4 linked regions of the Saccharomyces cerevisiae S288C genome follow. Changing the gene in region 1 together with any one later gene gives a genetic interaction. Each region holds a gene or a part of one and is shown on either strand. Other genes may lie near its edges. The genes, in order: TUB4, HTD2, MAD2 and RTF1.

Region 1 (3,720 bases):
CCTAAAACTTCAATGGCTTCTTGATACTTCGCTTTTGCATTTGTAAAATCTCCTTTTCGACATTCCTGTTCGGCGTCCTCAATAATAGTATAAACCTAATTCATGTTAGTCACCATGAACAAAAAAAAAGTGGGGGCATAATTCAAAAACTTACTTCCGCTAAAGTACTCATTCCATCACCAAGATTAGTATAACTGTCGTTGAATTATCGAACTAATCCGTGCAGCGATACAGATGTTTTTTATTTCAAACAGAGCGTTCCATTACGCTGAGTTGAATCATCTGGTTTTTCTACCCTTTAGGAAATTCTAAAGTTGAAGAGGCGCTATCGATGTATGCAATGATGAAAAAGTGGTACAGAGCTTTATACATATTACAATACAGTGCAGAATTTATAAAGGGAGATAATACATTTGAAGCGGTTGTTGGTATAGATATATTGAGAGTACTATAATAAAACTATTGGGCGGTGGTAAAATTCCTGAACAAGGAAGGCATCATTATACTAATTTATGATCACCGTCGGCATCCAGGTCCTCTTCCAACTCGCCAACCATATTTTCATCATCAACAAGTACATCGTCCAAGTACGAATCTTGTTCTGCAGCTACATAATCCTCCATCAGGCTTTGTACTACTTCTCTTGACTCGGCGAATTCATCTTGAACGTTCTGCATTGATTGGAACAAGTCGCCTACATTATAATTATTTAAAAATGCGCCCTTGGCAAATACTTTGTCAAAAGTATTGCACGCATTCTCAAAGACGTTCACCACGGTAGACATATTGCTTAACATCATGCCGCTAACTTCGTTTTCATTTGGTTGTAAAGGCAAGTATGGCGATCTTCTTCCAATGTTAACGTGCATCGCAGAAGAGGACCATGAGGGGAATTTGATGCGTTGTTGTAATTTGGTCATAGCACGCGATATCTGACGAGGTTCTACATTACCAATGATTGTATTATAAACGTTAAAATATGTTGGATTGTTCATCGCGGTAGAGACAAGAGAATTGGAAGGGTCTAATAAATCTAACATGACGTCATAACTGGAATGGCCTTTATGCGCTATATCATCGTGAATATAATCTGATGTAAATGGAGTGAAACTAGGGCTTAGGAAATGAAGTTCAGGAGAAGGAATCAAGGTAGAGTAAATACTGGACATGGATGAATACATGTAACTCGGAAACCGTATACTGTTCGTTACTGAAGATATTATGGTCGATATCAATTGATTCGTGTGTTGTAAATCGATGTTCGGATTTCTAAACACTTTACCGGAAATATTCAGCAACGAAGCGTTATCAAACACCACCGTTGCATCGCTATCTTCTATCAGTCTTCTCAAAGCCAGAATAGTGTTATAAGATTGAACAACAACCTCAGAAGATCTTGCAGGGAACACAGAATATGTCGTGAGTATTTTTTTAGGATATCGATCACACAGCGCTTCTAAGAGGTTGGATCCGAGCCCTGAACCGGTCCCTCCGGCTACTGAGTGCAGCAACTGGAAACCTTCGAAATTGTCGGTAGAATCAATCTCCTTGTCGATCTTGTTAAGAATATCATCCTGGTTACGAGTTCCTATATCATACCCATTGGCCCAAGAATTACCAGCGCTAGCGCCATCAGAAGCTACCCAGGTATTTCTTGGGTCGAAAAACCCACGAAATGTGTTCTCCACGTCGGCGATGACACTAGGCTCGGAATCCATCATAATAGCCCTTGGCGTAAACTTATTCCTACTGTTTTCGCGGAAGAAAGGCTTTGTGTCATCATCTCTTTCCGTACTGGAATCAGGAAGCTGAGATAGCCCATCGGTGCCTATAGCGTGTTCTTTCGCCAATTGAGACCAGAGAAACTTACCAACGTGGTTCCCGCATTGACCTGCTTGCAAAGTAATAATTTCTCCACCCATAGATAGTTATATGTTGAATTCTTATACATGTGACTAACCGATATTACGCATTTGTTCATTTCGCAGCTACTGTTACGATTATTATTTATTACATTTAATGAAATTTCCCAAAAGATAATATTAACGCGTTCTGTTACCCGGTGATATTTTCTGAATGTCAGGGTAACAAAGAGAGAACGTTATAATGGGAGAATAGTAAATATTTGCTTTAGGAAATTAGTAATAATTGCAATGCGGAAAATAGGTGCATTTTGTGTTTCTTGAAAGGTTTGAACTAAAGAATGTATACATATATATTAGAGCGTGCCTTCATGCAGGGAATTAGAGGATCCGTTACGGAAGAGAGAACTTCGTAAGACATTATTGCTGTGACTATTTTGACCGTTTCCAAGAACTCAACCAGTCATTTATCTTTGGAGTAACAAAGCAGTCCCATTTGAGAGACCCCTCATCATGATGATTCAGTCTGTCTTGCCTGTTATACGAAACGACTACTCTTGACAAATCTTTTTGGGAAAAGGTTGGTGCCTTTTTCTTTGCCTTTATACAAAACTGCACTTGTTCTGTGAATTTATTTTGGTACGGCGTTACGGTGATTTGTTCAACATGCGCCGTAAATTGGCCCTTTTCGATAATATCGGGTGAATTTTCCCAATCTATGAGGCCACCTGCCCAGTTTATTGTACCGGGTCCGTTGGTTTCCGAGCCGCCTGGCCAAACAGCGATTTCTAGTCTCATCGGCGTTTGTGGGTACCTATATTCTTTACTAATGGGGTCCCAGGTATCCTTCTTCAGGACTGTGCGAGCTATTTTACCATCAACATACCATATTATCCTATCCGGGTCCCAATCAATCTCATAAGTGTGGTAAGTGGCCCAAGTGTCAGCGCCTACGGGAAATCTTTGCATTCTTGTGTAATCCAAATGCCCTTGAGAATAGTAGTTTGATTGGGCCGTCATTAAATCACCACCCAGCCACTCAAAATCAATCTCGTCCCCAATTGCGGATGTTAAGTCAAATGCAGTCACCACACCCCTCGACCTCGCCGTTTTCATTCGCACGCTTGCCTTGCCGTATAGAAACGACCTGGTCGATGTGATCAAACTTCCGGTAGTTTTTTTTGGCATAGCCAGAACAATATTCCCGCTACTCGCTTCAATTGATGTGTAGCCGCTATGTGTGAAATCGAAATCTTCCAACATTTTCTCTGCCTCTTTACTGTCTGGAGTGACCAAGAATTTGGCGTAGTGTATGATTCTCTTGGAATTTAGCTCCCCTTCTACTACACCCACCTTGGTATTTGCCTTATTCGGTCCATTTCCCTCTCTTATTGGTGGCTTAGGTTGATAGTTCACAATAAATTTAGGAACCTTTGGTGTGCTAACAAATTCAAGTTTTTGACTGGCGACTAATGCAGGTATAGGAGCACAGCTTTCCTCGTCGAAAGATGACCTCACGTTGCAGCCACCGACACATATCGGTCCAGCGCCACATTCATTATACGGCGAGCAGCACGGCCATTCTGCGGGACAAGGGTTATTTGGAGAACAAGAAATGGAGTTTTTGGGTTTGTATAATTCTCCCAGTGCAAATCCGATGTAGCCAACAACCGGCACCAGCTGTAATATTGATATTCTCATATTTTTATTTCGTGCAAAAGCCCTTGATGATACTCTAAACTAAACGACTGTTCTTGTATTTCGTTATTAATCGATAATTATTAGCTGGTATTGTCTTTTTTTTTTTTTTCCTACATGATCGTCGCGAGGCTTTACATAATTTTTGTGACGCCTTTAA
Region 2 (7,129 bases), on another chromosome or scaffold:
TTCATGCAATGAAAAATATCCTTACCTTTACTTATGGTTTAAACTGGTTTGTTCAAATATCCTCAGTGAATCTTTTTTTTTCTTTTTCTTCCTCAGTATGGATTGAGCGATGAGGTGAAAAAAAAAAAAAAATTAAGAAAACTAAAACAAAAGTAGAAGAAAAATATCCTTCCTTAAGTACTGCTTGCATTCTAAATCTTTGCGTAGTCACACAAGCGTAAACAGATATGTCCGAAGTTATCACAATTACCAAGCGGAACGGTGCCTTCCAAAATTCATCTAACCTGTCCTATAACAACACAGGGATATCAGATGATGAAAATGATGAAGAAGATATCTACATGCACGATGTTAACTCAGCTTCTAAAAGTGAGTCTGATTCTCAAATTGTGACGCCAGGTGAGCTGGTCACTGATGACCCTATCTGGATGAGAGGTCACGGTACGTATTTTCTTGATAATATGACGTATTCCTCTGTTGCTGGTACTGTATCCCGTGTCAATAGGCTGCTATCGGTAATTCCATTGAAAGGTCGTTATGCCCCAGAAACTGGTGATCACGTCGTAGGGAGAATTGCTGAAGTGGGTAACAAGAGATGGAAAGTAGACATTGGCGGTAAGCAACATGCAGTACTTATGTTGGGCTCTGTGAATTTACCGGGTGGTATTCTAAGAAGAAAATCTGAAAGTGATGAACTACAAATGAGAAGCTTCCTTAAGGAAGGTGACCTCCTGAATGCAGAAGTTCAATCATTATTTCAAGATGGTAGTGCCTCTTTACATACAAGGTCTCTAAAGTACGGGAAGTTAAGAAACGGGATGTTTTGCCAAGTCCCGAGTTCATTAATAGTGAGAGCCAAGAACCATACTCATAATTTGCCCGGCAACATAACCGTAGTTCTCGGAGTCAATGGTTACATATGGTTAAGGAAAACATCTCAGATGGACTTAGCGAGGGATACGCCGTCTGCAAATAACAGTTCCTCAATTAAATCAACTGGACCCACTGGTGCGGTATCATTAAATCCCTCCATAACAAGACTGGAAGAAGAGTCTTCATGGCAAATATATTCGGATGAAAACGATCCTTCCATATCGAACAACATACGACAAGCAATTTGCCGGTATGCGAACGTGATCAAAGCGTTAGCGTTCTGTGAAATAGGCATTACTCAACAACGTATAGTAAGTGCTTACGAAGCTAGTATGGTTTATTCAAACGTAGGTGAACTGATTGAGAAAAATGTAATGGAATCCATAGGCAGTGACATTCTTACCGCCGAAAAAATGAGAGGTAACGGCAACTAATAGGAATACAAAAGCCGCTGTTTACACATTTATAAACTACACAGCAGACTCCAACGCAATTTATGTGTATAAACTTACATAATGTCATGGCTATGTACACACGATTAGTACGTATAGAAATGCAATTGACTCATCTTTATTGCAGACATTACATCATATTTTGTTGATATTATAGTAATATGTTCATTTTTTTATTTATCTCTATATTAAAACAAAACTTTTGCACTAAAAAAAGAAATAGTACAGATTCATTTTTTTTTTTTTCATCTCAAAATTCTCTCATCAATTCTTAACTTTTTTGATTGGTTTACCACTGGCAAAGGTAGCAGCAACAATCAATGGAAGAACAGTGGTGACATCAGCAAAAAGTTTGACGGATTTGGCTTCAGCCTTGATCTTACCCCAAGACACAGCTTCGTCAGGTCTTGCACCTGCATCAGAACCATCGTATTCTTGACCAGTGTTAATGTAAACGGCATAATCAGCACCATTTCTCATCAAACAAGCATTGGCAATGTGGTGCTTGATCAAACCACCACCCAAGATGATCATACCGGCTCTGTAAGCGGCCATGGACATTGAATTGATTTTGCGGATATCTCCTACAATGTCAACTCTTAGTTGTTTTGGAGATGCTTTAAAAGTATGGAAAAACAACATGTCACCGATTGAACCATCAGTCAAAGATGGACAAAAGATTGGAATTTTATTCTTGTGGGCCCAGTACAATACGGAGGATTCGTCGTTGATTTCCTTACCAAAACGATCTATCATCTTAGATGGGGTCCAGATTGGTGAATCCACGTCTTGGTTAGCCTCTAAACAGTCAGCGCCATGTTTCTTTACGTATTCATCTTGTTCTTCCAACATCTTATCCAAAATTGGGACAATCCATTCTTCAAACTTACAGTAGTTATCATTTGGAACAAGCAAGTTACCAATACGATTCATACCTTGGTCACGCAAAGATTTACCTTTCAAAGCAAATTCACCCAAGTAAGTTGGAGCAAGACATTTGATCAAATCTTCTTCCACACCACCAGCAGAAGTAACGACAGCATCAACCATTTTGTGTTGCACCAAATAACGTAAAGTTTCACGTACACCGGAACTGATCAAGTTAGAAGTATAACCCATGAAGATAGTAGTCTTTTGGTACCCTTCCTCATCGAAGCAACCTTTCTTTTCATGGTCATCCAATTCGTCAATATGCTTACCTCTCCATGATCTCATACTATCAATAATCTCACAGGCAGTACCAACAGAACTAGCTTGGAAACCCATGGTCTTCATAGCTTCAATTAAATCAGTTGCTCTCATATTAGTGGCTTCAGGCTTTGAGTAATCAATACCTTGAACCTTAACGAAGTCATCTGGAATAGGAACAGATGCTTTCAAGACAGCGTCTTGTAGTAACTCTGGGAGTTTTTCGTTGATATCGGACATCTTTTTTGCTTTGACTTGTATATAAGTTAACTAAGCAAAACACGACTTTACTCTGCAGTTAGATACAAAACTGATAGAGGGAAGTACTTTGCGTCAAAATGGAAATATACATTACATTTAATTTTTCACTTTACTTTTTATTTTTTTTTCCCACCTTTTTTTCAGTTCTTCCCGTAATGCGTTTACCGTCAACCTGGTGATGGCGAGATATTATGGTAATCTCGTTCGTGACCTTCCACTGTTCAGCAGCTACTAGTATTATTTCAAGAGACAAGAAACACACAGGTAGTGATTATCTGCAGAGAGACAATTACTGGTAGTCAACAGAAAACATCAGCTTTCATGTAGACTAAGTTGGCTTTCTGGAGGTCCCTAATTTGAAATGTGTACATTCCGCTCGAAGAGCTTAAAGACTGACATATGCTCAAAGTAGTGTTTGGATATATATAATTCAAATTGCGGTATCGCAACTGTCTGATTGGTTGTTCGAGAAAAGGTTGGATGCATTTCTGTAGTAATTGGACCGAGAAGGGTCCTTGCATGATAATATCGTCGTAGCCTTCAACATAGCGACTGTACTCTTTGTCCCAATGAATTCGGTGCGGATTCAAAGACATCTGACCATAAGCTACAATATCCATATCAGTAACAGTAAAATTTTTTAAGATCTTATAGTTCTCCTCTCCTACGGGCATCTTGACTGCAGTCTTGTTTGCGGGTGAATTGGTGTACATTAATACCCTTCTCTCGAATAAGCAAATGTCCATTGGACTCGACACATTTTCGGGCCTTTCTTGTAAAAGGGTTCTTTCAATACAGACAACATGTTCATCTCGTATTTTTTTTACGTATTTGATTGATTCGTGGCATGTATACTCCTGGTCTAAGGTGACTGGTAAATACTGAACAAGCTCTCCTTGTCCCCAAATCCTTCTACGGTAGCGTAAATCAGGGTTTCCTAGCAAACTTGCAGGATTTTGATAGTTAAAATAACCATCTCTATCCAATTTTTCGAATGATGGTGGGAAGAACAGGAAATGTTCTCCCAGTTGAAGATGCTTCGTTGCCTTTGATACAGGGAGTCTCCTACAAAGTAAACTATCAAACGCTTTGGTTCGGTGACTAGATAAGACATCCCTGAAAATCCACGTTTTGGATTTCATGCTGATAAGCTGTCTTTAGATAAGTGGACGATTGCCCACCTTCAATGTACCAGCCACGCTCATGTATCGAAACAGTAGCTTAAAATGGCGTAAAAAAGGTAAGATCGAATTTTTTTTCACATGCCTTCTGAGATCTACGTTTCCTTTGGGCTATGATTTAAAAGACAAAGAGTTTATATGTATCAAGTATGCAATTTATCTAAAGTGAAGAAGTATACGTGCGTTGGTGGATAGCCAGGCTTAACTAAAATTTTCTTGGTACCGGAGAACAATTTATTCGACCTCACTAAATAAGTCACTATCTAGATCCTCTGGTACGCTACCATAATGTTCGCTGTCACTTGATGAAGACTCATCATCGCTCATCGCATCATCTTTTCCTTGACCTTCACCTCCTTCTGCTGCTCTAGCTTTTCTTCTTTCCAATTTACGTTGCTTTTTAGCGTCTTTAACAGCCTTCTTTTTAGCAATGTTTTCTTCTTGTTCCTTCTTTCTTTGTTCCTTCAGCCTCATTTTTGCAGCGTGTCTCTTTTCTAAAGCTTTGATTTCTTCGCTTGATTTTTGAACAAATTCATGATGTAACACTTTACCTGAACAAATACCTTCTTCTATCTTGACCAGTTTTAAAGTTAATCTTGGTCCTAATTCAGTTAGTTTGATAGCTTTCTTACGTGGGGTTGGTTGCAAGTTTTCTGAAGGCTTAGGTTCCTCCATTTCCACATCTTCTTCTTCTGTTTCTTTTTCACGCTCTTTATTATCCTTCTTTTCGACCGGTGTTCTTTGGGACTTCAAACTTTGAGAATGCTTTGCCTTCACGTCCTGATTATCAACTACTCTCACGATAGCGTCATCTTCAATTTCAGATTCTGATGTATAGGCGCCTAAGTCGTGATCTAATATCAAAGAAGAAATATCTTCTTTTCGATGCAAATTCGGCACTGTTTTACTTAGATTATTTTTGGCTTTATAAAGCCTTTTTAGGTTTCTAGAGATCTCTACTTCTCGAATGTCAATAAAATAGTGGCGCATAGAAATTTCCCCTGTTTCCCTGTCTTTATTGATCATAAATACACGTTTGATAGAATTCAAAGAAGTTCTCGCAGGATTCAGAGGTGGGAAAATATTCTGAAACATAGAAACAATGACCTTCTCCACGTTTACATCCTGGTCGTCTTCACCAGATCTTTTGGATGTGGAAAACCCGTTTAGCACTAGCAATGGAGGATTTAATACATCATCATTATTCAACGATTTAGGTCTCTTCAAAAATTTTTTGATATCTCTACCCAGAGAATAGTCCAATACTTGAAAAGTAACAGTAGGACCTTGCGGAGTTCTAGCTATCTTTAGGGAGACATTTCCTGTTTTTTCAGATTGAGTGAACATAAAAAGATGCGTAACACCTAATGGGCCACACATAACAACGAAATCCTTCAGTTTATTGGACTTGCGCTCTTTCAATTTTATAGCCGTATGTGGTTGCATGATTTGGCGGAAGTCCTTTACTAATTGGTTCAGAGAATGGTTGGCCAAAGAAGTTTGACCCACTCTGATTACCATTGACTTAGGTATACCTTGTTCCTGCTCAGGTGTAAGCTGTGCATGTGTTCTTTTCTTTTGTCTTCTCTTGGCCATCTTGAAATTTTATTGTCTGCTATATCTGGATTATACTCTTTTATTATTAAACATACTACTCACTCAAACCCAGATATCGAACTAATATCGCGATGAGATGAGCTTCTTCGTCTACTTTTTTTTTTTTTTTTTTTTCAGTGAAAAATTTCAATTTCGTCTAAGGCGATAAAAATGAAAAATTTAAAATTAATCAATGAGCATTTAGCAATTGTACATGGTATACACAGAATTGTGACATATCTTAGAAGCAATATATACCAAGATTCTGTTAAGTACTTCACTGAATCAGCTATAAAAATGTCCAAAATTGTTAAGAGAAAGGAAAAGAAGGCTAACGATGAATTAACTTCTTTAGCAGAAAAGATTAGAGCAAAAGCTTTGGAAAATCAAAAGAAGCTTATAGAAGCAGAAAAGGAAGGTGGTTCAGAGTCCGATTCTGAAGAAGATGCTACTGCTGAAAAGAAAAAGGTTTTGAAATCAAAAAGCAAATCCACAGTATCAACCCAAAATGAAAATACTAATGAAGATGAATCTTTTGAATCCTTTAGCGAACTGAATCTGGTCCCCGAATTAATTCAAGCTTGTAAGAACTTAAATTATTCCAAACCCACTCCCATTCAATCTAAGGCAATTCCTCCCGCGTTAGAAGGTCACGATATAATTGGACTTGCGCAAACAGGTTCTGGTAAAACTGCTGCATTTGCTATTCCCATTTTGAATCGGTTATGGCATGATCAGGAACCATACTATGCGTGCATTCTAGCTCCAACAAGAGAATTAGCACAACAGATCAAAGAAACATTTGACTCATTAGGATCCTTAATGGGCGTGAGATCGACATGTATTGTGGGTGGTATGAATATGATGGACCAGGCCAGAGACCTGATGAGAAAGCCACATATTATCATTGCTACACCTGGTAGATTAATGGACCATTTAGAGAATACCAAAGGGTTTTCACTGAGGAAACTGAAATTCTTGGTTATGGATGAAGCTGATAGATTATTAGACATGGAATTTGGACCTGTTCTTGATAGAATTTTAAAGATCATCCCAACCCAAGAAAGAACCACTTATCTTTTTTCCGCTACTATGACTTCCAAAATTGATAAATTACAAAGAGCAAGTTTGACAAATCCTGTGAAATGTGCCGTGTCAAACAAATACCAAACCGTAGATACATTAGTGCAAACACTGATGGTCGTTCCAGGTGGTCTTAAGAACACATACCTAATTTATTTATTAAATGAATTTATTGGAAAGACGATGATCATTTTTACAAGAACCAAGGCCAACGCGGAAAGGTTGTCAGGATTATGTAATTTGCTCGAGTTTAGTGCCACTGCGCTACATGGTGATTTGAATCAAAACCAGAGAATGGGATCTTTGGATCTTTTCAAGGCAGGTAAGAGGTCTATTCTCGTGGCTACAGATGTCGCTGCGAGAGGGTTGGATATTCCATCAGTGGACATAGTTGTAAACTACGATATTCCTGTGGATTCCAAGTCCTACATTCATCGTGTGGGAAGAACCGCAAGAGCTGGTAGATCAGGAAAATCTATCTCACTAGTATCACAA
Region 3 (7,253 bases), on another chromosome or scaffold:
GCTCGAGAACCTAATACTGAAATGGCCAAAAAAAATAGATTGAACACAACTCAAAGAAAGACTTTACGTCAAAAGGAAGATGAGTACATCGAAAACTTGAAAACCAAAATTGATGAGTATGACCCTAAGATAACCAAGGCCAAGTTTTTCAAAGATCTCCCCATTAGCGATCCCACATTAAAAGGTTTAAGAGAATCATCCTTTATAAAACTTACTGAGATCCAAGCCGATTCTATTCCCGTGTCCCTGCAAGGTCATGATGTATTGGCGGCCGCAAAGACAGGTTCCGGTAAGACATTAGCATTTTTAGTTCCAGTAATTGAAAAGCTATACCGCGAAAAATGGACCGAATTCGATGGGTTAGGTGCCCTTATCATATCTCCAACAAGAGAGTTGGCTATGCAAATATATGAGGTTTTGACGAAAATAGGTAGTCACACTTCATTTTCAGCTGGGTTAGTTATCGGTGGTAAAGATGTTAAATTCGAACTAGAAAGGATATCAAGGATTAACATTCTTATCGGTACACCTGGTCGTATTTTACAACATTTAGATCAAGCCGTAGGTCTAAATACTTCCAATTTGCAGATGCTTGTTCTTGACGAAGCTGATAGATGTTTAGACATGGGGTTTAAAAAAACTCTGGATGCCATCGTAAGCACATTGTCACCATCTAGACAAACACTTTTATTTTCAGCGACTCAATCACAATCTGTTGCAGACTTGGCTAGGCTTTCCTTGACAGATTATAAAACCGTTGGTACACATGATGTGATGGATGGGTCGGTTAACAAAGAAGCATCTACTCCAGAAACTTTGCAACAATTCTACATTGAAGTTCCTTTGGCAGATAAATTGGATATCCTTTTCAGTTTTATAAAATCACATTTAAAATGCAAAATGATCGTTTTCTTATCAAGTTCCAAACAAGTGCATTTTGTCTATGAGACATTTAGGAAGATGCAGCCTGGTATTTCTTTAATGCATTTACACGGTAGACAGAAACAACGTGCTAGGACAGAAACTTTGGACAAATTCAATCGTGCTCAACAGGTGTGTCTTTTTGCTACCGATGTCGTTGCTAGAGGTATTGACTTTCCTGCAGTCGATTGGGTTGTTCAAGTGGATTGTCCAGAGGACGTTGATACATATATCCACAGAGTCGGTAGATGTGCTCGTTACGGTAAAAAGGGTAAATCTTTAATCATGTTGACTCCACAAGAGCAGGAAGCGTTCCTAAAAAGACTTAACGCTAGAAAGATCGAACCAGGCAAACTTAATATAAAACAGTCAAAAAAGAAATCCATTAAACCACAATTGCAGTCATTATTATTCAAGGATCCAGAACTAAAATATCTAGGACAAAAGGCTTTTATATCGTACGTGAGATCTATATATGTGCAAAAGGACAAACAAGTTTTCAAATTCGATGAGTTACCAACAGAAGAATTCGCTTATTCTCTTGGTTTACCAGGGGCCCCAAAAATCAAAATGAAGGGTATGAAGACCATTGAGCAGGCCAAAGAAAGAAAGAATGCTCCAAGACAGCTAGCTTTCTTATCAAAAGCAAATGAAGATGGTGAAGTAATTGAAGATAAGTCGAAACAACCAAGAACAAAATATGATAAAATGTTTGAACGTAAAAATCAAACCATCTTAAGTGAACACTATTTGAATATAACGAAGGCTCAAGCACAAGAAGACGAGGATGACGATTTCATTTCTGTCAAGCGTAAAGATCATGAAATAAATGAAGCTGAGTTACCAGCTCTAACTCTTCCAACTTCAAGGCGAGCACAGAAGAAAGCGCTTTCAAAGAAGGCATCTCTGGCCTCCAAGGGTAACGCTAGCAAATTAATATTTGATGATGAAGGCGAAGCCCATCCAGTTTATGAACTTGAAGATGAAGAAGAATTTCATAAGAGAGGTGATGCGGAGGTACAAAAGACAGAATTTTTAACTAAAGAATCTGCAGTAATGGCAGACATTGACAATATTGATAAGCAGGTGGCTAAAGAAAAAAAACAAGAGAAGAAGAGAAAAAGACTAGAAGCCATGAGAAGGGAAATGGAGGCTGCTATGGAAGAAGAAATTTCTGGAGATGAAGAAGAAGGGAAGACAGTAGCATATTTAGGAACAGGAAACTTGAGCGATGATATGAGCGACGGTGATATGCCTGACTCGGAAGGCCACTTGAAAAAGAAAGCTAGAACTGTTGACTATTCCCACGGCCACAATCCATCCAATTCAGTTGATGATGACATTATTGAAGTGGAAGAACCACAAACTTTGGAGGATTTGGAATCTTTGACAGCTAAATTAATCCAGGGTTAAACCCTCCTGCATAGTCTAACCTATAGTATTTAGAACTTGTATACATCTATTCTCTACACTAATATACTTATTTCTTTGTTCAAATCATCGGTAATATTACAATAAAAGAAAAATATGCATATACTTTCGTGCATTGAAGGTGTCAAATGAAATCCCGCTTATAGTGAACAGGCTTCCATCATATATACATATATATATATGTTTATATATGTATATCATCACTTATGCTGCTCCAGGAGATGTAGGTATCTATTCTTTCTTAACGGATCCGCATCTATTAATTGGACCAAATATTGTTCCGAGCTTCTTTCCGTTAGAGCTTCCTTTTCTTCCAGAATATCTTCGAGAACTAATAAAATTTTCAAGCACCAAATATTTTGCTTCCCGGAAAATTCAATTTCGTCATTATTTATTAACAGAATGTTTTCTCTCAAGTCTTTCAACATTTTAAGGTACTCTTGTTCGTCCAGAGTTTTACAAACAATGTCGTTTTTAATGAACCACTTGATATAAAACCATACGGATTGGTCTTCGGCGTCGGTAAACATAGCGTTGATGATATAAGATATTTCAGTCCGAATATACTCCTTTTGATTCCCAACCTCTCCTTTCTGAAACATTCTGCTTATGATCTGTACTCTTTGGTGCCATGCAGAATAATTTGAAATGTTATTGTTAATCTTTATTGTTGTGTATTCAAACTCCTCCTTGTCAAGACTTTTATTAGTGATACTCTCTATGTTACCAACAACTATTCTGCGGTAATGCCATCCGTGGTAATTTCTTGCATCTTGTTCCAATAACTTATTCACGACAGCAAGTTCAGTTTGCCACACTTTAGGGGAACTCGTAGGATAATGTTTCAAGACCCAAAGTCTGTGATTCCATATCCAATAGACTTTGGGGTAATCCTTCAATAGCATCATTACAAAAACTAACTCTTTATCCCAGAAAGGTATTTCCAACTCAGAAGCCAAACTCGCTATAATATCCCTTCTGTAATTCCAAATAGCATTAAATTCCGGATTTTTCTCAAGAAGTTCTGATGTTTTCTTCAGAGCTTCAATTGAGTAAATTTTTTCATCTCTCATATTCAAAACATTTTCAGTCAAGCTTCTATAATCATATATTTTCTTTTCGTCTTGAACTCTCTTTTGTCTCAGTAATTCCTTGGTCCACTGTTTCCTTTTAATGCCATGCTGTTTAATGTGGCAAATATAAAAAATTGCTTGGTAGTCAGTAAAAAAAAGAATTCATAATGTAACGAACATTTGAAGTGCACATACCATTGCTGACCTACTGCTTTATAGTATAAATTCAGTATACTAGGTATATGTGGCTCAAAAATGTGGTTTTTTTCTTTTTTGCCTTTAATTTTTTTCAAATGTTTACGTATGGTTTATGATTTAACATTTCAAGAATAGAAATCGCCCCGAAGAATGATTGATGTTAAATACTCGTACAAGAGTATTGAAAACCACTTCAAAGGGGCCCAATAGCACATTTAATGTCACAATCAATATCACTAAAGGGTTCAACAAGGACAGTTACAGAATTTTTCGAGTACAGCATTAATTCCATTTTGTACCAAAGAGGCGTATACCCAGCAGAAGATTTCGTAACGGTGAAAAAGTACGATCTTACGTTACTAAAGACACATGATGATGAACTGAAAGATTACATTCGGAAAATTCTTCTACAAGTTCACAGGTGGCTTCTTGGTGGAAAATGCAATCAATTAGTATTATGTATTGTAGACAAGGATGAGGGAGAGGTGGTGGAAAGATGGTCCTTCAATGTGCAACACATTTCTGGCAATAGCAACGGGCAGGATGATGTTGTAGATTTAAATACAACACAATCACAAATCAGAGCTTTAATCAGGCAAATCACCTCAAGCGTTACCTTTCTGCCCGAACTAACAAAAGAAGGTGGGTACACATTCACAGTACTTGCATATACAGACGCGGATGCTAAAGTTCCGTTAGAATGGGCCGACTCCAATAGTAAAGAGATACCTGATGGTGAAGTAGTTCAATTCAAAACATTCTCTACCAACGATCATAAAGTTGGTGCGCAGGTCAGCTATAAATATTAATAGAATTCAAGTCAAAAAAAAAAAAAAAGACGGAAGTCCAAAAAAATCTCGTTTTCGATGTTTAGAAAGAATATAGATTTATGAACTATATTATACTATACTACGTACTTCCTCTGTAAACCACTTCATGCGTTTTTTCAAGTGCCTCTGTTAAAGAACCTTGAGTGAGAAACGAAGTCTTTGACACTCAAACTTTGCTTTTTTTGTTCTTCTTTTTGTTGTTGTATTTGAGGGGTGGATACTATCCTCTTCATAACAGGTGGTGATATTTTCAGATCTTGCCTCACAAATTTTGACCAATTCGGATCTTGCATCCTTGCCAAGTTGTTTTCAAATTGACCCAAAAGTACCTTGTCCCACTTGAATATGAAAAGATCGCGATTACTGTCTGGCCTGCTGCCCTCGTCAGTGTCGTCTGTTTCTAAGTTGTAGGCACTCCATAGCTTTTTCCATAATGCCAGGTCCCATGGAATGCCCTTTAAAGCGAGGACAAAAGACCATACCGCTGAATCAGGGTTATTATTGGTCAATTTGGAGTAGGTCTCGTAATAGTCATCAGCGGAATCCAGAGGAGCCATTAGAAGTTTAATAAACTTCAGCAGCTGGTCTATATTATTGTCTGCATGTCTTTTCACCCTCTTATAAGAGGTATTTTCTCGCAAGTCAGAATCGTTACTTACACTTTCTGGTAAAGTGTGAAAAATCTCCTTCAGCAATTCTAAATCAAGGAGAAGCTGCTCGCCAATGTTGACAACAGTTCTGGTTTCAAATTTCCTTTTGCTGCCCGCCAGGGAAAAGGGTGGAACGGGCTGCAGAAGGCGGATGGTATTGCTTACAAAATTTGTAGTGATGATATCAATCACCTTATCCAAGAAATTCCACTTATAAACATCTCTATTGAATTGCGACAAAATAAATGCCAAAGTCGAAGGTTGCTCTTGCTGTTGTTTAATAGAGGCATCTGTTAATGCGGGCATTTTAAGTACGGATTTGAGGGTTACCATGTACCTGCTATAATCTTCTATCGCAGCATTTGACCAATCATTGTTGATAAACTCTCTCCATACAAAATTTAGATCTAAGGGTATGACACGGTTTAATAGAAAAGAAGTTCCTTTTGCTAGTAAATCGTCGTATATATTTTTCGTTTTCGTAAAACTGTTTGCCAGCTTTTCACGATTACCGCTGAATTCAGATAATTTATCCTCCAATTGATCTATAGTCGTGGCACAATAATCTGCAGTATTGATCAATAAAACGGTATACTTGGCAGCTTCTAGCTTATCCTGGACTTCAATATTGTCGGGCAGCAGTAAAGGAAGAAGAATTTTTTGTGAGTAAGTTTGAAGCCATCTACTGAAAAAATTTGCCAATGAAGTCAATATGCTATCATTGGCATTATTATCAATGAGCTCTAAGGTCTGAGTCAGTACGGAACGATATGTCCTGAAAAGGTCTGCACTCGAGGGTAACACGAGAGATTCTGTTTCATTAGATGGGTACTTCGGCTCACTCATATAAGAAAGAAATTTCTTTTCCATCATTTGGTTTTGGTGAGACACCCATAAAGTCAAATAAGGTTCGAAGCAGGAACTTAGTTTTGGTTCCTTAATTTTTTTTGAAAATCGTACGTCGATGTATTTTTCGAAATCTAGCGTCGATTGTAATGCTGTCATGAATAGATCAATGGAAGGGTTCTTGTCTTTGAATTCCCTTTTCAGAAGTGTCTGAAGGTCCTTGTGTGTAATGTGATAAAAAGTGGTGGTCAATCTGACTGCCATTTCCCAGTCTTTTAAGAAATAGTCTGCGAACTTTGAATTGAAGTTATTAAGAATTTTTTTGAAGTAAATGTATCTTCTCGATAAATTTTCTAGGGATCCGGCTTCATCGTCGACCCTAAATATCTCTTTCATTTCGAAGAGAAGTTTGTCCAAACACCAATCTATCATCTGGGCTCTCGTACTTGTATCGCAGTCGAGTAGCTCGCAGGCACCTTCGCGCAATTCCATAGTGAGTGCTGTATCATGCTCTGAGATATTGCCGCCGGAAAAGAGCGCATTGTAGTTTTGTTTAATTTTGGACAAAGTGTCTCCTTTCAGTCTTGAAATGGAGCTCAACAAATAGTTTATCTCGTCCAATGATTTGTAAGAGATGAATGTGTTTTCAGCAAGCGAACACATTATCTTATAAGGGGACACCATTTTTTTGAATGAGCCCTGTGAGAGTAATTCATTGCATTGTATGTAACTGTCTGTCAATATCTTTAAATTTTGGAAAAGAGTCAAAGAGTGGGTGAGGTTTTTCTTGGCAATGTCCAGGTACGAGATACCTTCTGTCAGATTCGATATCGTCAACTCGGTGGAGGCTGAGACATCTTGAGTTTCTTTGAAATCTTGGAAAACTTTCCTCAGAGAAGCCTCTATTTCAGCGGAATTTTTAGGGTGTTCCTTCAATTCATTCTCTTCTTTGAGAATATCCTCTTGCAATTGCTTTTTGTAGCTTCTGGTAATACTGATCAGTTCATCTATGTTGTTCAGGGATTCTTTTGAAAAAAGTATATTGGTAATATCTTCCAGCGGGTCATAATCTACCGTACCTTCCAGCATTGTCCTTCTGAGAAAACAAAAATGGAAGATGTTGTGAAAATGCAGTAAGTGACAATAAGCTAGCGACTTTTCAATGATCGCAGATTAAGTATATATACACTTTAGGTCTCCTTCTCTTCTTTACTAGCTACGAAAAAACAAAGAAAAAAAAAACAAAATAGAGGGAAAAAAGATATACGTATAAAAATATGCTCCAGGGGAGGTTCGAACTCTCG
Region 4 (7,298 bases), on another chromosome or scaffold:
CTTACATATTGGACATGCCAAAGCTGCCTTGTTGAACCAATATTTTGCTCAAGCTTACAAGGGTAAGTTGATTATTAGATTCGATGACACCAACCCATCGAAGGAAAAGGAAGAATTCCAAGACTCTATTTTGGAAGATTTGGATTTATTAGGAATCAAGGGTGATAGAATAACCTACTCATCTGACTACTTCCAAGAAATGTACGACTACTGTGTTCAAATGATCAAGGATGGTAAAGCTTACTGTGACGACACTCCAACTGAAAAGATGAGAGAAGAACGTATGGATGGTGTTGCTTCTGCCAGAAGAGATCGTTCTGTTGAAGAGAACTTAAGAATTTTTACCGAAGAAATGAAAAACGGTACTGAAGAAGGTTTGAAGAACTGTGTTCGTGCCAAGATCGATTACAAGGCTTTGAACAAGACTCTAAGAGATCCTGTCATTTACAGATGTAATCTAACCCCTCACCACAGAACCGGATCAACTTGGAAGATCTACCCAACTTATGATTTCTGTGTCCCAATTGTTGATGCTATTGAAGGTGTTACCCACGCTTTACGTACCATTGAATATAGAGACCGTAACGCTCAATATGATTGGATGTTACAAGCTTTGCGTTTGAGAAAAGTCCATATTTGGGATTTCGCTCGTATCAATTTCGTTAGAACCTTGTTGTCTAAGAGAAAGTTACAATGGATGGTTGACAAGGACTTGGTCGGAAATTGGGACGATCCAAGGTTCCCAACTGTCAGGGGTGTGAGAAGAAGAGGTATGACTGTCGAAGGTTTGAGGAACTTCGTCTTATCCCAAGGTCCATCCAGAAATGTCATTAACTTGGAATGGAACTTGATCTGGGCTTTCAACAAGAAGGTCATTGATCCAATTGCTCCAAGACACACTGCTATCGTCAACCCAGTTAAAATCCACTTGGAAGGCTCCGAAGCTCCACAAGAACCAAAGATTGAAATGAAACCAAAACACAAGAAAAACCCAGCTGTGGGCGAAAAGAAAGTCATTTACTACAAAGACATTGTTGTCGACAAAGATGATGCTGACGTCATCAATGTTGATGAAGAAGTCACTTTAATGGACTGGGGTAATGTCATTATTACTAAAAAGAATGACGATGGTTCTATGGTTGCCAAATTGAATTTGGAAGGTGATTTCAAAAAGACCAAGCACAAGTTGACTTGGTTAGCTGATACTAAAGATGTCGTCCCTGTTGATTTAGTTGACTTCGACCATTTGATTACCAAGGACAGATTGGAAGAAGACGAAAGTTTCGAAGATTTCTTGACTCCTCAAACAGAATTCCACACGGATGCCATTGCTGACTTGAATGTTAAGGATATGAAGATTGGTGATATCATCCAATTCGAAAGAAAGGGCTACTACAGATTGGATGCTTTACCCAAGGATGGTAAGCCATATGTCTTTTTTACCATCCCAGATGGTAAATCTGTCAACAAGTATGGTGCAAAGAAATAAGCATCACATAAGTAATGTATATACATATTTATGTTATTTCTCAACCAGTACCTTTTGAACAATATCTTTTATAAGTGAATGGTTTGCTTTCTGAACCAGTCCTGTGTTCGCTGCCTTGAATCATGTAAGGATAGCAGCTTATGACATGTATGTCTACCTATAGAACTTTGACTGTAAAAGTTTATCATCCATTACCCGGTTTTGTAATTTTGACAATTTATATTTTATTGAAATTGGTTCAAATAGTGACTACGAGCTGGAAGGAAAATATTCAAAGTTACAAAAGGTACTTGAAGGATACCAAAGTTTGTAATTGTATTGCACTAATTTGTTGAGAGCACTATAGAAATGTCTGATTTAGATGAGGATTTATTAGCCTTGGCTGGTGCCGATGAATCCGAAGAAGAAGATCAAGTTTTGACAACTACATCTGCCAAAAGGGCAAAAAACAACGACCAATCTCTTTCCAAGAAAAGGAGAATTGAAGTCGGCAGTGTAGAGGATGATGATGAGGAGGACGATTATAACCCTTACTCTGTAGGAAATGCAGACTACGGTTCCGAAGAAGAAGAAGAAGCTAATCCTTTTCCCTTGGAAGGAAAGTACAAGGATGAGAGCGACAGAGAGCACCTGGAATCCTTACCTGAAATGGAACGTGAGACTCTATTATTTGAAAGATCTCAAATCATGCAGAAGTACCAGGAGAGGAAACTTTTTAGAGCACGTGGAAGAGATATGAAGGAACAACAACAGAGAGCCAAGAACGACGAAGATTCCAGAAAGACCAGAGCTTCCACTAGATCAACCCATGCTACTGGGCATTCTGATATCAAGGCTTCAAAACTTTCGCAATTAAAGAAACAAAGAGCGAGGAAAAACCGTCACTACAGCGATAATGAAGACGAAGACGATGAGGAAGATTACAGGGAAGAAGACTACAAGGACGATGAAGGGAGTGAATACGGGGATGATGAAGAATACAATCCTTTTGATAGAAGGGATACATACGACAAAAGAGAAGAAGTGGAGTGGGCTGAAGAGGAGGACGAGCAAGACAGAGAGCCTGAGATTTCTGATTTCAACAAACTAAGGATCGGTCGTTCATTTGTCGCAAAATTTTGTTTTTATCCCGGGTTTGAAGATGCAGTCAAAGGTTGTTATGGGAGAGTCAATGTTGGCACAGATAAACGTACCGGCAAAACTTCTTACCGTATGGTGAGAATTGAGAGAGTTTTCTTGCAAAAACCTTACAATATGGGTAAGTTCTATACTAACCAGTATTTCGGTGTTACCCAAGGTAAAGACAGAAAGGTTTTTCAAATGAATTATTTTAGTGATGGTTTGTTTGCCGAAGACGAATACCAAAGGTATCTCAGGGCATTGGATAATTCGCAAATGATTAAACCTTCTTTACATTCTTTGAGTAACAAAACGAAAGAGGTTATGGATTTTGTCAATACACCATTGACTGATAAAACTACAGATGAGGTTGTTCGCCATAGGATGCAATTCAATAAAAAACTATCTGGTACGAATGCAGTCTTGGAGAAAACTGTATTGAGAGAAAAATTGCAATATGCCAAGGAGACTAATAATGAAAAGGACATTGCAAAATACTCTGCTCAGTTAAGAAACTTTGAGAAACGAATGTCTGTATACGAGAAGCATCATGAAAATGACCAATCTGACATTAAAAAACTAGGCGAGTTGACCTCTAAGAATAGAAAATTGAATATGAGTAACATCAGAAATGCAGAGCATGTGAAAAAAGAAGACAGTAATAACTTTGATTCAAAGAGCGATCCTTTCAGCAGGCTAAAAACCAGGACCAAAGTTTACTATCAGGAGATACAAAAGGAAGAAAACGCAAAAGCTAAAGAAATTGCACAACAAGAGAAGCTACAAGAAGATAAAGATGCTAAAGATAAGCGTGAGAAAGAGCTACTTGTGGCACAATTCAGGCGCCTTGGTGGGTTGGAGCGCATGGTTGGTGAATTGGATATCAAATTTGACCTTAAGTTTTAGTAGGCAGGACAATTTCAGTGTTTGTAAAAATATATTTATATTTATATATTTAAATATACTAAATAAAAATAATACTATCATCGTTGTGATGCAAAAAAAAAAAAAAATGAACAGAAAATAATAGTGATGTGAATGGTTTCGTGCCAAGGAACAAGGCCATGCATAGTAAACCTTCTCACTATGCCAAGTGAGGATAAATTGGGTGAAGAGATATCAACGAGGGTGATTAATGAGTATTCAAAACTAAAATCTGCCTGCAGACCAATAATTAGGCCTTCAGGTATCAGAGAGTGGACAATATTGGCAGGTGTTGCAGCTATTAACAGAGATGGCGGTGCGAATAAGATAGAGATACTTTCCATAGCTACTGGTGTGAAGGCTTTGCCAGATTCAGAACTACAAAGAAGTGAGGGGAAGATTCTGCATGACTGTCATGCAGAAATACTGGCATTACGAGGTGCTAATACAGTTTTATTAAACCGTATTCAAAACTATAATCCATCAAGTGGTGATAAATTCATTCAACATAATGACGAGATACCTGCCAGATTCAATTTAAAGGAAAACTGGGAGTTGGCATTGTACATCTCGAGATTGCCCTGTGGTGATGCCAGCATGAGTTTCCTGAATGATAATTGCAAAAATGATGATTTCATCAAAATAGAAGATAGCGACGAATTTCAATACGTCGACCGTAGTGTGAAAACAATATTGAGGGGACGCTTGAATTTCAATAGAAGAAATGTCGTTAGGACTAAACCAGGAAGATATGATTCCAATATCACTTTATCTAAATCCTGTTCTGATAAATTATTAATGAAACAACGGTCGTCGGTACTGAATTGTTTAAATTATGAACTCTTTGAAAAACCTGTATTTTTAAAGTACATTGTGATTCCTAATTTAGAAGATGAAACGAAACATCATCTAGAGCAATCATTTCACACTCGTCTACCGAATCTAGATAATGAAATTAAATTCCTGAATTGCCTCAAACCATTTTATGATGATAAATTGGATGAGGAGGATGTTCCTGGTCTAATGTGTAGTGTCAAGCTCTTTATGGATGACTTTAGCACCGAAGAAGCGATTCTTAATGGCGTGAGGAATGGATTTTATACCAAATCATCGAAACCACTGAGGAAACACTGTCAATCGCAAGTAAGCCGGTTTGCACAATGGGAACTATTCAAAAAAATAAGACCAGAGTATGAAGGAATAAGCTATTTGGAATTTAAATCTCGTCAAAAAAAGAGAAGCCAGTTAATTATCGCAATAAAGAACATTTTATCTCCCGATGGTTGGATACCCACCAGAACGGATGATGTGAAGTAATATATATATATATTGTTGAATATGCGTATATGCACACTTTTTTGTTAGTGCACCTTAAAGAAATATATACACAGTAGAAATATCTATATATCCAGAGTTCATCTATCTTTCCCTCTCTGTGGTATTATCATCACATATTTTATCATTTTTTATCATCTTCTTCGTCATCGTCAGATGGACCATCATCTATCATTTCCCCATCCTCATTGTTATCACCTGATCCATTGGTACTATCAATCGCTAACTCGGCACCCTGCAAAAGGTCAATTAATTCATCCAGTTCATCACCATGAACCAAATCAACTGGCTTTTGATTGTTATAGTTTCTCACCCTAGGATCCGCACCCACTTCAATTAAGTTTCTAGCAATAAAAGTTCCATGCTCAGGCTCCTCTTGACTGTATCTGACAGTAACATGTAACGGAGTGTCGCCATCAACGTCGTTTTGTGGGTCTATTTCGATTTCACCGTCTTGATCGAGAATCTTGTCGAGAACTTCCCAGGATCCATACTTACAACATAAATGTAACGCTGTATTCCCCAGTGGTTCTTTGGATTCGTTAATTAGCTTTGCAATCTTCTCAGGATCATTATCTAAGCTATCAAATACGGTCTCCAAAAGATCCAGATTGTTTCTTCTAGCTGCATCCAGCAATTGTTCACTTAAAGAAGCACCTTCAGTATTCATGATCAAAAAAAGAAACTAATTTATTTTGTGAAAAACTTCGACTTCTTTCACTTATGACTTTTTTCACTGGGATTCAGAAACTACCTCACAGGACCCCTATATAATGAATTTATTGTCAACCTTTCTATCAACGCGTTATACCTTGGGTATACTAGGAAAAAAAAAAAAAGATACATATGGATGTATATGACCTGCATACACGATCCGAAAATCTTGAACGTAATTGTAACACTATCAACACATTAAAATGGATATTAATGAATTGATAATAGGTGCTCAATCAGCTGATAAACACACTAGAGAAGTTGCGGAAACGCAATTGTTACAGTGGTGTGATTCCGATGCATCTCAAGTGTTTAAAGCGCTGGCAAACGTTGCCTTACAGCACGAAGCTTCTCTAGAATCGAGACAGTTTGCTTTATTGTCGTTAAGAAAATTGATCACCATGTATTGGAGTCCAGGATTTGAATCATACCGTTCTACATCGAACGTCGAAATAGATGTTAAAGATTTTATCCGAGAAGTGCTACTGAAATTATGCTTAAATGACAATGAAAATACCAAAATAAAAAATGGTGCATCTTACTGTATTGTTCAGATATCTGCGGTTGATTTTCCTGATCAATGGCCGCAGCTTTTAACAGTTATTTATGATGCTATCTCTCATCAGCATTCATTAAATGCGATGTCTTTATTGAATGAAATTTACGATGATGTCGTATCTGAAGAAATGTTCTTTGAAGGCGGAATTGGCTTGGCGACAATGGAGATCGTTTTCAAAGTACTCAATACAGAAACTTCTACTTTGATAGCCAAAATTGCTGCTTTGAAGCTACTTAAAGCATGTCTTCTACAAATGAGCTCCCATAATGAGTATGATGAGGCGTCACGAAAAAGTTTTGTCTCCCAATGTTTAGCTACTTCTTTACAGATATTGGGACAATTGTTGACTTTGAATTTTGGAAACGTAGATGTTATTTCTCAGTTGAAATTTAAATCCATTATATACGAGAATTTGGTTTTTATTAAAAATGATTTCTCTAGAAAGCATTTCTCAAGTGAATTACAAAAACAGTTCAAAATAATGGCAATCCAAGATCTGGAAAACGTTACCCATATAAATGCAAATGTCGAAACTACTGAAAGTGAACCCCTTTTAGAAACAGTTCATGATTGTTCTATTTATATTGTAGAATTTTTGACTAGTGTTTGCACTTTGCAATTTAGTGTTGAAGAGATGAACAAAATTATAACATCTTTAACCATTCTTTGTCAGCTAAGTTCTGAGACAAGAGAGATATGGACAAGCGATTTCAATACATTTGTATCGAAGGAAACAGGCCTAGCAGCATCATATAATGTTAGAGATCAAGCCAATGAATTTTTTACTTCATTACCCAATCCTCAACTTTCCCTAATTTTCAAAGTTGTTTCCAACGATATAGAACACAGCACGTGTAATTATTCAACTTTAGAATCTTTACTATATCTCTTACAGTGTATTTTGCTTAATGATGATGAGATAACTGGTGAAAATATCGATCAATCTTTGCAAATTTTAATAAAAACGTTAGAAAATATCTTAGTATCACAAGAAATACCAGAATTAATATTGGCGCGTGCAATTTTGACTATTCCCAGAGTACTAGACAAATTTATAGATGCATTACCTGATATCAAACCCTTGACATCTGCATTCTTGGCAAAAAGTCTTAATTTGGCGCTAAAATCTGATAAAGAGCTCATTAAATCCGCAACATT

Evidence for each region.
Region 2: mutations in TUB4 (region 1) and HTD2 impair growth when combined (synthetic growth defect), as found in Saccharomyces cerevisiae (2 studies listed by BioGRID, with this or other methods).
Region 3: mutations in TUB4 (region 1) and MAD2 are lethal when combined (synthetic lethality), as found in Saccharomyces cerevisiae (5 studies listed by BioGRID, with this or other methods).
Region 4: mutations in TUB4 (region 1) and RTF1 impair growth when combined (synthetic growth defect), as found in Saccharomyces cerevisiae (2 studies listed by BioGRID, with this or other methods).

What each region holds. Positions count from the first base shown.
Region 1 is NC_001144.5:564,360-568,079, forward strand, and holds TUB4 (gamma-tubulin), read right to left. Parts: upstream 1,923-3,720; coding exon 501-1,922; downstream 1-500. Other genes in the region: ATG38 (Atg38p), read right to left, coding at 1-95, 155-172; CRR1 (putative glycosylase), read right to left, coding at 2,295-3,563. UniProt on the Saccharomyces cerevisiae protein: Tubulin is the major constituent of microtubules. The gamma chain is found at microtubule organizing centers (MTOC) such as the spindle poles or the centrosome, suggesting that it is involved in the minus-end nucleation of microtubule assembly.
Region 2 is NC_001140.6:227,757-234,885, reverse strand, and holds HTD2 (hydroxyacyl-thioester dehydratase HTD2), read right to left. Parts: upstream 3,917-7,129; coding exon 3,074-3,916; downstream 1-3,073. Other genes in the region: TRM5 (tRNA (guanine) methyltransferase), read right to left, coding at 1-5; exosome non-catalytic core subunit RRP4, read left to right, coding at 228-1,307; DYS1 (deoxyhypusine synthase), read right to left, coding at 1,590-2,753; SSF1 (rRNA-binding ribosome biosynthesis protein), read right to left, coding at 4,190-5,551; RNA-dependent ATPase RRP3, read left to right, coding at 5,849-7,129. UniProt on the Saccharomyces cerevisiae protein: Mitochondrial 3-hydroxyacyl-thioester dehydratase involved in fatty acid biosynthesis. Required for respiratory growth and for normal mitochondrial morphology.
Region 3 is NC_001142.9:383,816-391,068, forward strand, and holds MAD2 (spindle checkpoint protein MAD2), read left to right. Parts: upstream 1-3,841; coding exon 3,842-4,432; downstream 4,433-7,253. Other genes in the region: RNA-dependent ATPase HCA4, read left to right, coding at 22-2,334; Rab geranylgeranyltransferase BET4, read right to left, coding at 2,553-3,533, 3,621-3,623; VPS53 (Vps53p), read right to left, coding at 4,570-7,038. UniProt on the Saccharomyces cerevisiae protein: Central component of the spindle assembly checkpoint which is a feedback control that prevents cells with incompletely assembled spindles from leaving mitosis. Thought to be recruited to unattached kinetochores by MAD1.
Region 4 is NC_001139.9:39,661-46,958, forward strand, and holds RTF1 (RNA polymerase-associated protein), read left to right. Parts: upstream 1-1,837; coding exon 1,838-3,514; downstream 3,515-7,298. Other genes in the region: glutamate--tRNA ligase GUS1, read left to right, coding at 1-1,489; TAD1 (tRNA-specific adenosine deaminase), read left to right, coding at 3,647-4,849; ankyrin repeat-containing protein ANK1, read right to left, coding at 4,992-5,537; karyopherin KAP114, read left to right, coding at 5,785-7,298.